3 linked regions of the Macaca mulatta genome follow. The protein of the gene in region 1 binds, or shares a complex with, the protein of each later gene. Links are inferred from orthologs where the notes say so. Each region holds a gene or a part of one and is shown in the gene's direction. Other genes may lie near its edges. The genes, in order: STRIP2, STRN3 and PDCD10.

Region 1 (3,655 bases):
GTTAACACTCAGTATTAACCATCACAACCTCCATAACCATGTAGACTTTCCTTCTTGCTTATGGGATACAGGGTTCTCTGTGTCTCAAGTGGAGAGCAATGGAGTAGAAGCATGAGAAGCTGGTCCTGTGCTGCCTGATACAACCCTTGACCTTAATGTTTCACCCCATCTTCAACTTTGTCCTACTCTCAATAGTAATTTCATGTGCCCACACTGTGACATTCTCAGACATTCTCATCCATTTCCTTACTTGGTCAGTGGCAATTTGATTTTCAGTTCAACAAATGTGTGGTGAGTATTCTGTGTCAGATACTGGAGGCAGGAGTGAGAAGCAGCTTTTACAAAGAAGTTAGAGTTTGAGAGCAGAGGAATCATGTGCACATCACAAAACTAGCTGAGGCTCAAACAATCCTCCTGCCTCAGCCTCCCAAGTAACTAGGATTACAGGCATGTGCCACTATACCCAGCTTCTGCCCAAGGGCCTTCTCACGCAGCCTATACAGGGCAGCCAGAAAGTGCAGGGAATCAGTGTGCTCCTCTAGTTTAGCACCCTTCATCCAAGAGGAAAATGCTGTATCAGAAAAGTTTAAAAAGTGTTGGGGAAGCAGAGTATTTGGCCAGAGCATTAGTGAGAAAGGTCATTTTATATTGGGCATGTAAGAGTGGGAAAGAGGTCATTTTGTATTGGGCCTGTAAGGATGACTAGGAATTGAATATGTAGGGAGACAAAGGGAATTCCTTGAGGAAAGGCAGAGAGACAGGACAGTATGGGCTGTGTATGGAGAATAAAGGGGATGTTGAAGATGAGGCTATAGACTGGGTTCAGGCCAGAACATTTTGGGTCCTTTTCCCATCCCTTATTCTTTCTCAGTGAAATAAGGAAAGCTTTTGGAGAAAATAATCTTTTTGGGGGGAGCTGAGATCAGAGGTGGCTATGCTATGAGAAGCCTTTCCAGGAAAGGTGGCAATAGCTGACACTAGATGTATATGGCCTTTTATTCCCAGTGCAGGGCAAGGAATGGCTGGAGTTGGAAGAAGATGCCCAAAAGGCCTATATAATGGGACTCTTGGACCGGCTGGAGGTGGTCAGTAGGGAACGGCGGCTGAAGGTGGCCCGGGCTGTTCTCTACCTGGCCCAAGGTGAGTGACTACCCTTGCTAGCTTTAGAGGGGTGGAGGCTTGAGAGGGAAGTGGGCATTATCAGGACTGAGATGATGCAGGCTGTGCTAGGAAAGCAAGGTTTCTTGCCTCTCAAGGACAGATCTTGTCACGTGCTAGGAGTAACCTGTGCTTATGGGGAAGATGAGATAGTGTTGAGTGCTGTTCTAGATCCCTTGGGATCTGCCATTATCTTACCAGGCATGTCAGAATTTTTTATAGGGTTCTTCTTTTCCCTACCCTGTACTGTAATCATATGTGAATACTAGCAAGAGGGTCAGTGTGGCCAGAGCTGATGATGTACCACCAGCTGATCATGGAGACAAGACATCAACTGTGGCCTGGCCCCAAAACTGAGGAGAAATAGGAGAGTGTCACAGATACACATGGACCCCTTGCATTGTTTCTCACTGGCATTTTGAAAGTTCAAGCCAACATAGCTGCAGGAGTGGATGCTGTGAGTAATTTGGAGATGATCAGACCTAAATAGAGTAACTGGGGAAAGCTGGTCAGAAGAAACCTGTTAGCCAGGTGTTGGAAAGGGAAATGAGATAGCCTAGCTGGAGTGAAAATAAGCCTACGATCATAAATATGAGGCTTGTTAACAGAACCAACCAGTTGGGAGCTAAAAAAAAAATTCTAAAAAGAAATAATAAATAAAGAAGGGAAAGGGTAGACATTAGGTGAAGAGAAGACTAGCAAATAGGACTGTGCCCTCCTGTATCTCTAGGATCTGGTGCTCTGGCCAACTTCCAACTCCCAGTACCTTCATGTGTTTGCCCAAGGACTTTATTTATTTAATTTTTTTAAAAACAAAGTCTCACTATGTTTCCCTGGCTGGTCTTGAACTCATAGGCTTGAACTATCCTCCTGCTCCAGCCTCCCAAGTAGCTAGGATTACAGGCGTGTGCCACCATGCCCAGCTTCTGCCCAAGGGCCTTCTCTGCAGCCCATACAGGGCATCCAGGAAGTGTAGGGAATCAGTGTGCTCCTTTAGTTTAGCACCCTCATCCAGTGACTGACAGTAGTTAGTAGAGGGATAGCCTGACTGTCTCACCCCTCTTGGATAGAATAACTGTGAGTTGTGTGTTTTATACTGTTTCCAAAGTTATCCCCTGAGTGAACTCTTGGCTTCGTTTTCTTCCCTATCTCTACTGATGATTCCTGGGAATGATTCCCAAATAAGCTAATTGTACTGGAATCCTTACTTACCTCAGGATCTGCTTCTGGAAGAACCCACCCTTAAGATGACAGGCCATTGATGAGCACATTGGACCTAACCCTAGAGACTACCTCTCTTCTCCCCTGACTCATTCCAGGAAGTTCTTGGGGTCCCTGTCATACCTATGTCAGCCTAATTATTGGGCAGAGTATTATAGGAAAATCTTAAGATCATGGGGCAGGGTAGAAAGAACTGGGATACTGCCATCTCTCAACCCCTGTAACAACTGTCTGCTCCTTTAGGTACTTTTGGGGAATGTGATTCAGAGGTCGATGTGCTACACTGGTCCAGGTACAACTGCTTCCTGCTGTATCAGATGGGGACCTTCTCCACCTTCCTGGAGCTACTCCACATGGAAATTGAGTGAGAAGCCTTAGGGGAAGGGCTGGCCTACACAACCCCCATTCCTTAAAGGGGCCTCATATTCTATGCTGCTTCCCTTACTATAGAGAGCCCCTGTGAGGAACTGGGTCTACTCACACCTCAGCCCAAAGCTCATTGACAGTTTCCCTCCATCCAGCCATGTTCTCTGATATTCTGTTCTCCCTCCCTGAGGTTGGATACATCTGCAGCTTCTGCCTCACTTACAGCTTTAATCCTGGGCTTCAGGGGCCTATCCTGAGTGGGTTCTCTTTTTTATTCAAGGACTCTCTTAGCTCAGCCTAACTCTGTAATTCAAGAGGGAAACTGTTCTGAGTGCATGACCCAAGAAAGACAGGAAATCAATTCCTGTCACTGTCCCCAATTCTTTCCCTCATGGGCTATAGTTCTAGAGGTTGCCTTATTTGCTGCTACCACTACAGTGACCCCTTGTTTTGTCTCATGCCCATCACCCAGGAGTTTGAGATAGGGTGCAATCTGCTTATTATTCATCAGGTGTTTCTTAGCATCTGTTTTATGTCCAGCACAATACTAAGCATAGTGGGGAATGCAAGATGAGTGGATACCACAGATCCTGCCCTTGCCTTGTCTTCACCATATTACGATAAGAGAGTTTGCTGAGGTGGCAAGGGAATTCTGTCGGCTCCTTTACCCTAGACCAGTTTCATTAGTGGCTGCCTAGCCAGGGAATGGCAAGCACTCATGTTTGTGTGAGTGATAAGTAAGAGCACAGAGAGAAAAGAGGTCTTATGCATTCCTGTTCTTTTTCTCCTCCCCCTGGCAGCAACAGCCAGGCCTGTAGCAGTGCCCTTCGGAAACCAGCTGTCTCCATAGCTGATAGCACAGAGCTCAGGTGAGTGGGGCTAACTATGGGCTTGGAACAGGGCGGATGAT
Region 2 (3,655 bases), on another chromosome or scaffold:
ACCCTGTCTCTATTAGAAAAAAAAAAAAAAAAGATACCAAAACTAATTTTTTAGGCTGGTTAAAATAATTATATTTTTCTTTGAATTACTAATGACATTTTTATACTATGGGTAATTATATTACCATTAATAAAATGAATTTTTAGGATAGAAATTAATTCCATCTGCAGGGAAATAAGGGTAAACAAATGAGTAGCTGCTGGGATTACCATATGCCACAGTGATGGGTAATATGGAAAGCAGAGATAATAGTGTAAAAGAAGTTTTACACATATATATGTAAATAAATACTGAGTAAGCAGAATAGTTTGCAATATCTACATAAATATGTCATGAAATATATGTGTGTATATAGAGAAAAGGATAGAAATGTGGTCATATGATTAATTAGAAATGAGTATAATACTAATTTTTTGTTAAGTACAATTAATCCAAAACGCGAGTAAAACTAACATCCAGACACTAACCTTCACATGCTCCTAAATTGGTCAGTGGCTGATCAGAGATAGTCCTGCAAAATGATTTGTTACGTTAAAGTTATTTTATTGGGCTTTGTGTCAGTGAATGTTTGTATAATTGTGAGTGGGAAGAACTGTGGCATTTTAGAAACAAATTATGAGCTTAAAGTAAAAATATTTCTTTGTCTAGAGAAAAATGCTTTGAGTAAATGTTATCTAATGACTTTTATGTACTTATCCTTAAACATAAGTTTAAATTATTGATTTTATAGTTGATAGCTGCTTCTGGTATTGCCAATAACTGCATGCTAATAATTTGTAGGAAAAGATCAATGCTACAGATTATTCAGATTCATAAGTGTCATAATTGAAAGATTAACTAAATACTAGTTAGGATCTCTATGTATATATTTTCTTTCAGGTGCTTTCAGATTCATTTTAGATCAAGTAACTGAATCAGAGCTGCATTTTAGAACCCTATTTGAGTCAGATTATATAGCTTACTTTGATAGATAAAATAATAAAATAACAAGATGTTTTAAATAAAGATGAATTTTATTTTGCCATACTATACATATATGAATTATATCTTCTCAGAATTATTTCCAGTAGTATTAGTGATGACTGTCAAGTTTCATTACAGCTCTTGTGTTTCCTGTAGCATATTTATATCATTTTTCATGGGAATTTTTAAAAAATTGACAAACAGCTTAATTTTTTTTGTATAATGTTTCCCTTTTAAATTTGCTCATGAATTTTAAGTGTGTTTTAATATATTGAGTTTTATATTATAATGATTTGAGTATTTCTCCCTTGTTACCTTAATGTTAAGTTTTTGCTTTCAAAGCATTTGAAATTATATTGAAGGTTGTTGCTTAAACTATGACTGTTACAACAAAATATTTAGATAATAGTTATTCAATTATGGCAGAGTTTAATTGGTTAATAGTATGTATAGAAAGGAAAACACATTTTAAATAATTCGAACTGCTAATATTAACATGAAAAGCTGTAATAATGCACATGATATAGTCAAGAAATCTAAGTGAAGCTCAACCTGAGTTTAGTTTGAAATTGAAATGGCACATCTGATCAGAAATTAAAACTCTGTGGTCAAGATTAGTTGCTTCATTTTAGAATGTCATGGTAACTAGAATGGGACATTAAAATAAAAATCATAGTCAAAGCTTTAAAGCCGGAAGACAGGCTGGACGCGGTGGCTCACGCCTGTAATCCCAGCACTTTGGGAGACCGAGGTGGGTGGATCACTTGAAGTCAAGAGTTCAAGACCATTCTGGCCAACAAGGTGAAAGCCTATCTCTCCTAAAAACAAAAAAATTAGCTGGGCGTGATGGCTGGCACCTGTAATCCCAGCTACTTGGAGGCTAAGACAGGAGAATTGCTTGAACTCAGCAGGTGGAGGTTGCAGTGAGCCAAGATCGCACCACTGTACTCCAGCCTGGGTGACAGAGCAAGACTCTGTAAATAAATAAATTAATTAATTAATTAAATAAAGCTGGAAGATGTTCTGAAGTCCACATGGATTAACCTCTTTATAGAAAGGAAACTGACGTTGTTGGTGGAAGAACTTTTTCCTAGACCATTGCTGTTACTGAAGGAATCTGAACAATTAAAGCTTCATTCTAGTGAACTGATACAGTATATAGCTGACTGTAAACCATTTACATTTCAGTGTTTGTACTAGTTTTTATCAGGGACTAGAATGCCTAGTACTTCTTTAGAAAGCAAAAGGACTTAGCAACAACCTATTAACATTTAAAAAATACTGTATGACTACTTTGAGGTCCTTGAGGTCCATGGTAGAGATTTCCCCCCATGAATAGCAAAAATCTGATACTTAACTCCATTGTTTAATCAAAATTTGTCCTATTTCTTATTTAACATGTAAACTATAGTTATAATTGTACTGAAGTGATAAGAGATTTAGACAAAGCTTTTGTGCCCCAACTTCCACCCCAGAATAATATATCTAGTGCACATTTTATTTGTGGACAGTTACTACACCACAGTTCCAACACATTTGTTTAACACTGCTTAGTAACAGGATTTTTTGAGTAGAAGTGGGAAAATAAAAATTAATTATATTACTGAATATTGTAACTGTTAAGTGCTTAAATTTTCCCCACAATATTGTCTTGTACTGTATGATTTTTCAGCATTTAAGAAGCGGTTTTGTTCTTTATAGCTGAACCAATAACGTTTCCATCTGGAGGAGGCAAGTCATTTATTATGGGTTCTGATGATGTTTTGTTAAGTGTACTGGGCCTTGGAGACCTTGCAGACTTGACGGTAACAAATGATGCAGACTATAGTTATGATGTAAGTGCAGTTTTATTTTTAATTTTTTAATGATTTAATAGAAGGCTCCTTATTTTTTGGAATCACTTATAAAACAGAATTAATGTCAAGGTGCATGGAAGAGATAAGTTTGTGTCAATGTGTTGATTTGAAGTGACATGTAGTTTTTCTTTTATAACTACTTTCTTTGTGGTATTTAAATTTTGTTTTAGGTATTTTGGTGGATTAACTAGAAGTTTGAGATGATTAATATATTGGTCAATAAATACATCTTGAGTAGTCAACTCTCAATTATCTCAAATTAAGCCATATTTTGGTGTTAACAAGAAAAAAAATAACCTGAATCACTTATTTGCCTTCAGAATACTTCTTAAAAAGCATGTTTTATTTTTGAACTTTTATTTTCTTAAGGAAATATTTTAAAGTTTCTAAACATTTTAAAGTTAGCTTGCATCATTTCCTGAATACTTAACTCCATTAGAGGGATGGGGAGTGGATGGAAGGGATAGGGAGTCCAGTGTTAGAGGTGAAACTTGTCTTGGATTTAATTTTTCTAGATATTAATATTTCAATTGAGAGTTAACTATACCTGTTAGATCTTTATGTTAATTGCAGTTTTTCAGCAATTTTTTTTCTTTTTATAGTGAATTTCTTTTTCTACATTTTATAGTTAACGTTAGCATGCTTTTTAGAGACAGCCTTTGGTGGGCTGGATTATTCTCATTAATATTTTTTTTAAATACATAAGCAACTAAATTCCAGTAAACTTTTGACTGCTTTAGAAGTGGTTTCACAGCCTGTCTTTACAGATGGAGAAATGTGAAGGTAAAAAGATAAACCTCTGTCAATACCAAGAATTATGAAAATGGGATGAAAAT
Region 3 (3,655 bases), on another chromosome or scaffold:
TAATTTGAAATCCAGTACATCTGAACTAATGGAAAACTAGTGGAGACTCGTAATTTAACAGACCAAAATAAAAAAGCCAGGCATTTATTTACTGTTTGTAATCTACATTTGCATATTCTTAGGTGAAAATTCAGTAAGGTTTATTTGTTTTAAGTTAGGATTTTCATGAAGGGTCCAGAATAGATTTTTTCAGAGTTTTCCAGTCTAAACCAAACTCAACTCAAAGCACAGGGATTCCCTTTCATTAGCGGATTTGCATAAACACGTATCATGCACATTTGGGTGGCATGATTAGAAACTACTTTTCCATGCAGTTTTTTGATAAGATGTCTGTTTACGTTTCATCTGAAGGCTTTGTCTTTCAGTGTATGTTTTGCACAGCTGCCCTAACTATTAGGTTGGTGCTAAGTTCCTCCTGCTCATACTATCTGCCTCTTATCACAGAATTCATCTGCACCAAGCCGCATTCATTAGTTATGTGATATTTATTTTACCCTCAAGTTTTTTCTCAGTTCTTTATCTGGTTAATTGTCTGTAGTGGTTTTTTTGTGACAGTATTTTCTCTTATAGGAAACAAACTCTCTGGTAATTACTAAGATAATTTAGCTTCCTTATGTGCACACCTTGGTGCCATAAATGAAAATACTTTTCTGTGTACATATGGATAACATAATATTTGACATACATTCTGCAGATTGTTTCTAGAGAACATTTTTTCTACAATTTGGTAGGCATTTAACAGTCTTTTGCCTCATGTCCAAACAGAAGGCCAGGCTTAGGAATAAACAGCCTTGGCTGACAGAGAGCTGTGTTCCAATAAGGCGTTAAACCTTAGCTGCAAGTTTTCAAACCTGCCTCATCAGCAGTCACCTGAGGAGTTGCGCCTCCTCACACCCCCTTTTAAAGTAGAGATTTCCAGTATTTATCAGCATGTCTGTCTTTTTTTGTCCAGCAAAACCCTCCCTTCTCCTCTCGTCTTTCTGTCTCCCTAGGTGCATGAGGCAGCATTTTTCAGACCCACTCTTTTGACTTGTAGAATCCAGGCATTGTTGTTGCATATCAAACTTATGTTCATCTTGATGACTAGCCCTGGAAACACGTTTTATTCCTCTTCAGTGGAATATTGAAATACACTACAAAGTGAGACTGTATAAACTTCTGTCTGATCACTATGTAATTTGCTCCATTATATTCCATTTTAAGTAACTCCATTGTGGATTTGGAGAAGCTTGCATATTTGGAGATTTGACATTTTTTGTTTATTGAAATTGTAATTTTTCTCACAGAATAGTCCTATGACAGCATTTTATTAAACAATGGTGGGTTTATGTCCATCACACCAGTATACAAAGATTCAACTTGCTTAAGCCATAAATGAAAGGAATAGTTATCTAATTAAAAACTGCTATTACTAAACCAGAGGCAAAAAAAAAAAAAAATTAGATAGCATTTATGTAAGACTTATTGTCCTACTTGAATATGTAATATTTCAGTGTTTCAGCCTAATACCAGTGTTTGACCTGAGAGAGGTAATAAGTAAAGTATTATTGAAATAATTAATGAAAATGTAATTACTACTTCGGAGTACTCTAAAATACTTTTTTTAAAATATCAAAATTCTGTATGCTTTTAATTCTTAAAATTTCTACATGCTTATTTACTGAAAAACATGCTGGGAAACACCCACATGCACACAGAAACCTGGACACTGAGGATTTTTTCCCCTTGAAATAGGAATGTTGAAATGTTTTAGATAGGAAATAACTGAAATCTGGCATTTATAATTAGTATTAGTAATAAAATGTTATGTTTAGGATGGTGCAGATTTCTATCTTATTCATTTCTTCACAGTTGCATTGCATTTGAAGTTTTTGTTGTGACTAACAGCTAAGAGAATGGTTTTGAAAAAGGTTTGTCGTAGAGAATGAGACTGTTTGAGAATGCAGAATTACATAAAGTTCAATTTGATAGAAAAAAATTGCCATGAGGTTAAAATGTGGAAATCAAAAGGGGCTAGACAGAAAGGCAAAAATAAAACAAATTCAGAAAAAAATGGTGCGTGGATAGGAAGAACACTCAAATGAGAATTATTGATTTCTTCCTTTTGTTTCTTTTGAAAGGGGAGGGAGGTGATGATGCATATATAGTCAAAGGATGATTGCCAGAAAGGTTAAAGTGGAAGAATATTGTGGTGATGTCTCCCCCAGTAATTTAAATATTATATTTTCCAAAGGGAATAGTGGCTGACAGCAAGTGTTTGAAAGAGGAGGATATTTGGTTGCTAGATAGAAGCTAAAAGTGTCTATAAAAGAGTAAAGGAGGAGGAGTATTTCCTCAGGGGAGAGGAGTATTTTCTGAGGAGGAAATATTTTATGTTAAACATCAAAACTAATAGGTATCTAGCATACAGCGTCGTTAAATACAGAATTGAGTTATATGTCATGCAGAATATCATAAAATTGTTCATTGTTCAAATAACAAAAGTGGAGAACGTGGTAGCTTGAATTTAGCTACATTAGAGCAGAGGAAAAATTTAAAATGGGGAAAGACAGACATAGGTAATGTTTATCCTTTTCTAAATTTGAGTAAGGAATGCTTAATGAAATGTGATTGATTTGAGAAAGTTGGTTTTGGTTGGCAACCTTTGGTCAGCAGTGCAAGAGAATCAGGATTACAGAGGGGTACAGGCTAAAACCCCAACTCCAACCAGCTAGCCAAAAAGGCTGGCTATTCATGAAGTGAGTGCACTTACCATAATTAAGAGTGTACTGTGATTAGATTAAGAGTGTACTTAATTTCTTTCAAATGTAACTGATGTTTTCTCTCACAAATTTCTTTCAAATGCAGCTGATACTCTTTATTCTTTTCCCAACAGGGATATAGCTAGTGCAATAAAAGAACTTCTTGATACAGTGAATAACGTCTTCAAGAAATATCAATACCAGAACCGCAGGGTACGTTTAGTAGAAGCCTTGCTAGCTGACACCCTAGATGCTGGTTTATGCCTAGTTGTTTTATTGACTTGAAAATAGGATTGATTGTTGGAAATAGTTTTGTGTCATTAACCATTGAGTTATTCTTGGATTTAAATATGCCTTTTTATTTAAAAGTAAATATTCCACAATTGCTTATTAGTAATATTCATATAAAGTGCATCCCATATCCTGTGTAATCTCCTGTCCTTGCCTTTGGCTGTTGTGATTATTTCTCTTATTCAGTACTTTTTTTTTCTTACTGTATTTTGTGGCTGTAGGCACTTGAACACCAAAAGAAAGAATTTGTAAAGTACTCCAAAAGTTTCAGTGATACTCTGAAAACGTATTTTAAAGATGGCAAGTAAGTACTGTAATTTATCCTTTACTTTTAAAATTAAATAGATTATGTGGTTTTATATGGTATGAAAACCATATAAATTAAGCCCTTTTACTTTATTAGTACTCCAGGCAACTGATATTCAAGGCATTCCACTAACAATAGGAAATGAATGTGGTTGCTAATCTGGCTATAACTCCTTTCTACAGCAGGAGTTACCAGATGCTTTCTGAAAAGAGCCAGATAGTAAATATGTTAGATTTGGTGGGCCTGTTGGCCGTTATCCACCTCATCTCTGCCGTTGTACTACAGAAACAAGCCATAGACAATATACAGACAAGAG

The links.
Region 2: STRIP2 (region 1) and STRN3 share a complex: the UniProt entries of both Homo sapiens proteins name them as parts of the core of STRIPAK complex. The link is inferred for Macaca mulatta from reciprocal best matches to the Homo sapiens genes STRIP2 and STRN3.
Region 3: STRIP2 (region 1) and PDCD10 share a complex: the UniProt entries of both Homo sapiens proteins name them as parts of the core of STRIPAK complex. The link is inferred for Macaca mulatta from reciprocal best matches to the Homo sapiens genes STRIP2 and PDCD10.

The regions. Positions count from the first base shown.
Region 1 is NC_133408.1:169,095,294-169,098,948, forward strand, and holds part of STRIP2 (striatin-interacting protein 2), read left to right. Parts: intron 1-1,005; coding exon 1,006-1,140; intron 1,141-2,622; coding exon 2,623-2,743; intron 2,744-3,545; coding exon 3,546-3,614; intron 3,615-3,655. UniProt on the Homo sapiens protein: Plays a role in the regulation of cell morphology and cytoskeletal organization. Required in the control of cell shape. Calmodulin-binding scaffolding protein which is the center of the striatin-interacting phosphatase and kinase (STRIPAK) complexes.
Region 2 is NC_133412.1:104,025,252-104,028,906, reverse strand, and holds part of STRN3 (striatin-3), read left to right. Parts: intron 1-2,664; coding exon 2,665-2,798; intron 2,799-3,655. UniProt on the Homo sapiens protein: Calmodulin-binding scaffolding protein which is the center of the striatin-interacting phosphatase and kinase (STRIPAK) complexes.
Region 3 is NC_133407.1:79,296,302-79,299,956, reverse strand, and holds part of PDCD10 (programmed cell death protein 10), read left to right. Parts: intron 1-2,875; coding exon 2,876-2,954; intron 2,955-3,253; coding exon 3,254-3,336; intron 3,337-3,655. UniProt on the Homo sapiens protein: Promotes cell proliferation. Modulates apoptotic pathways. Increases mitogen-activated protein kinase activity and STK26 activity. Important for cell migration, and for normal structure and assembly of the Golgi complex.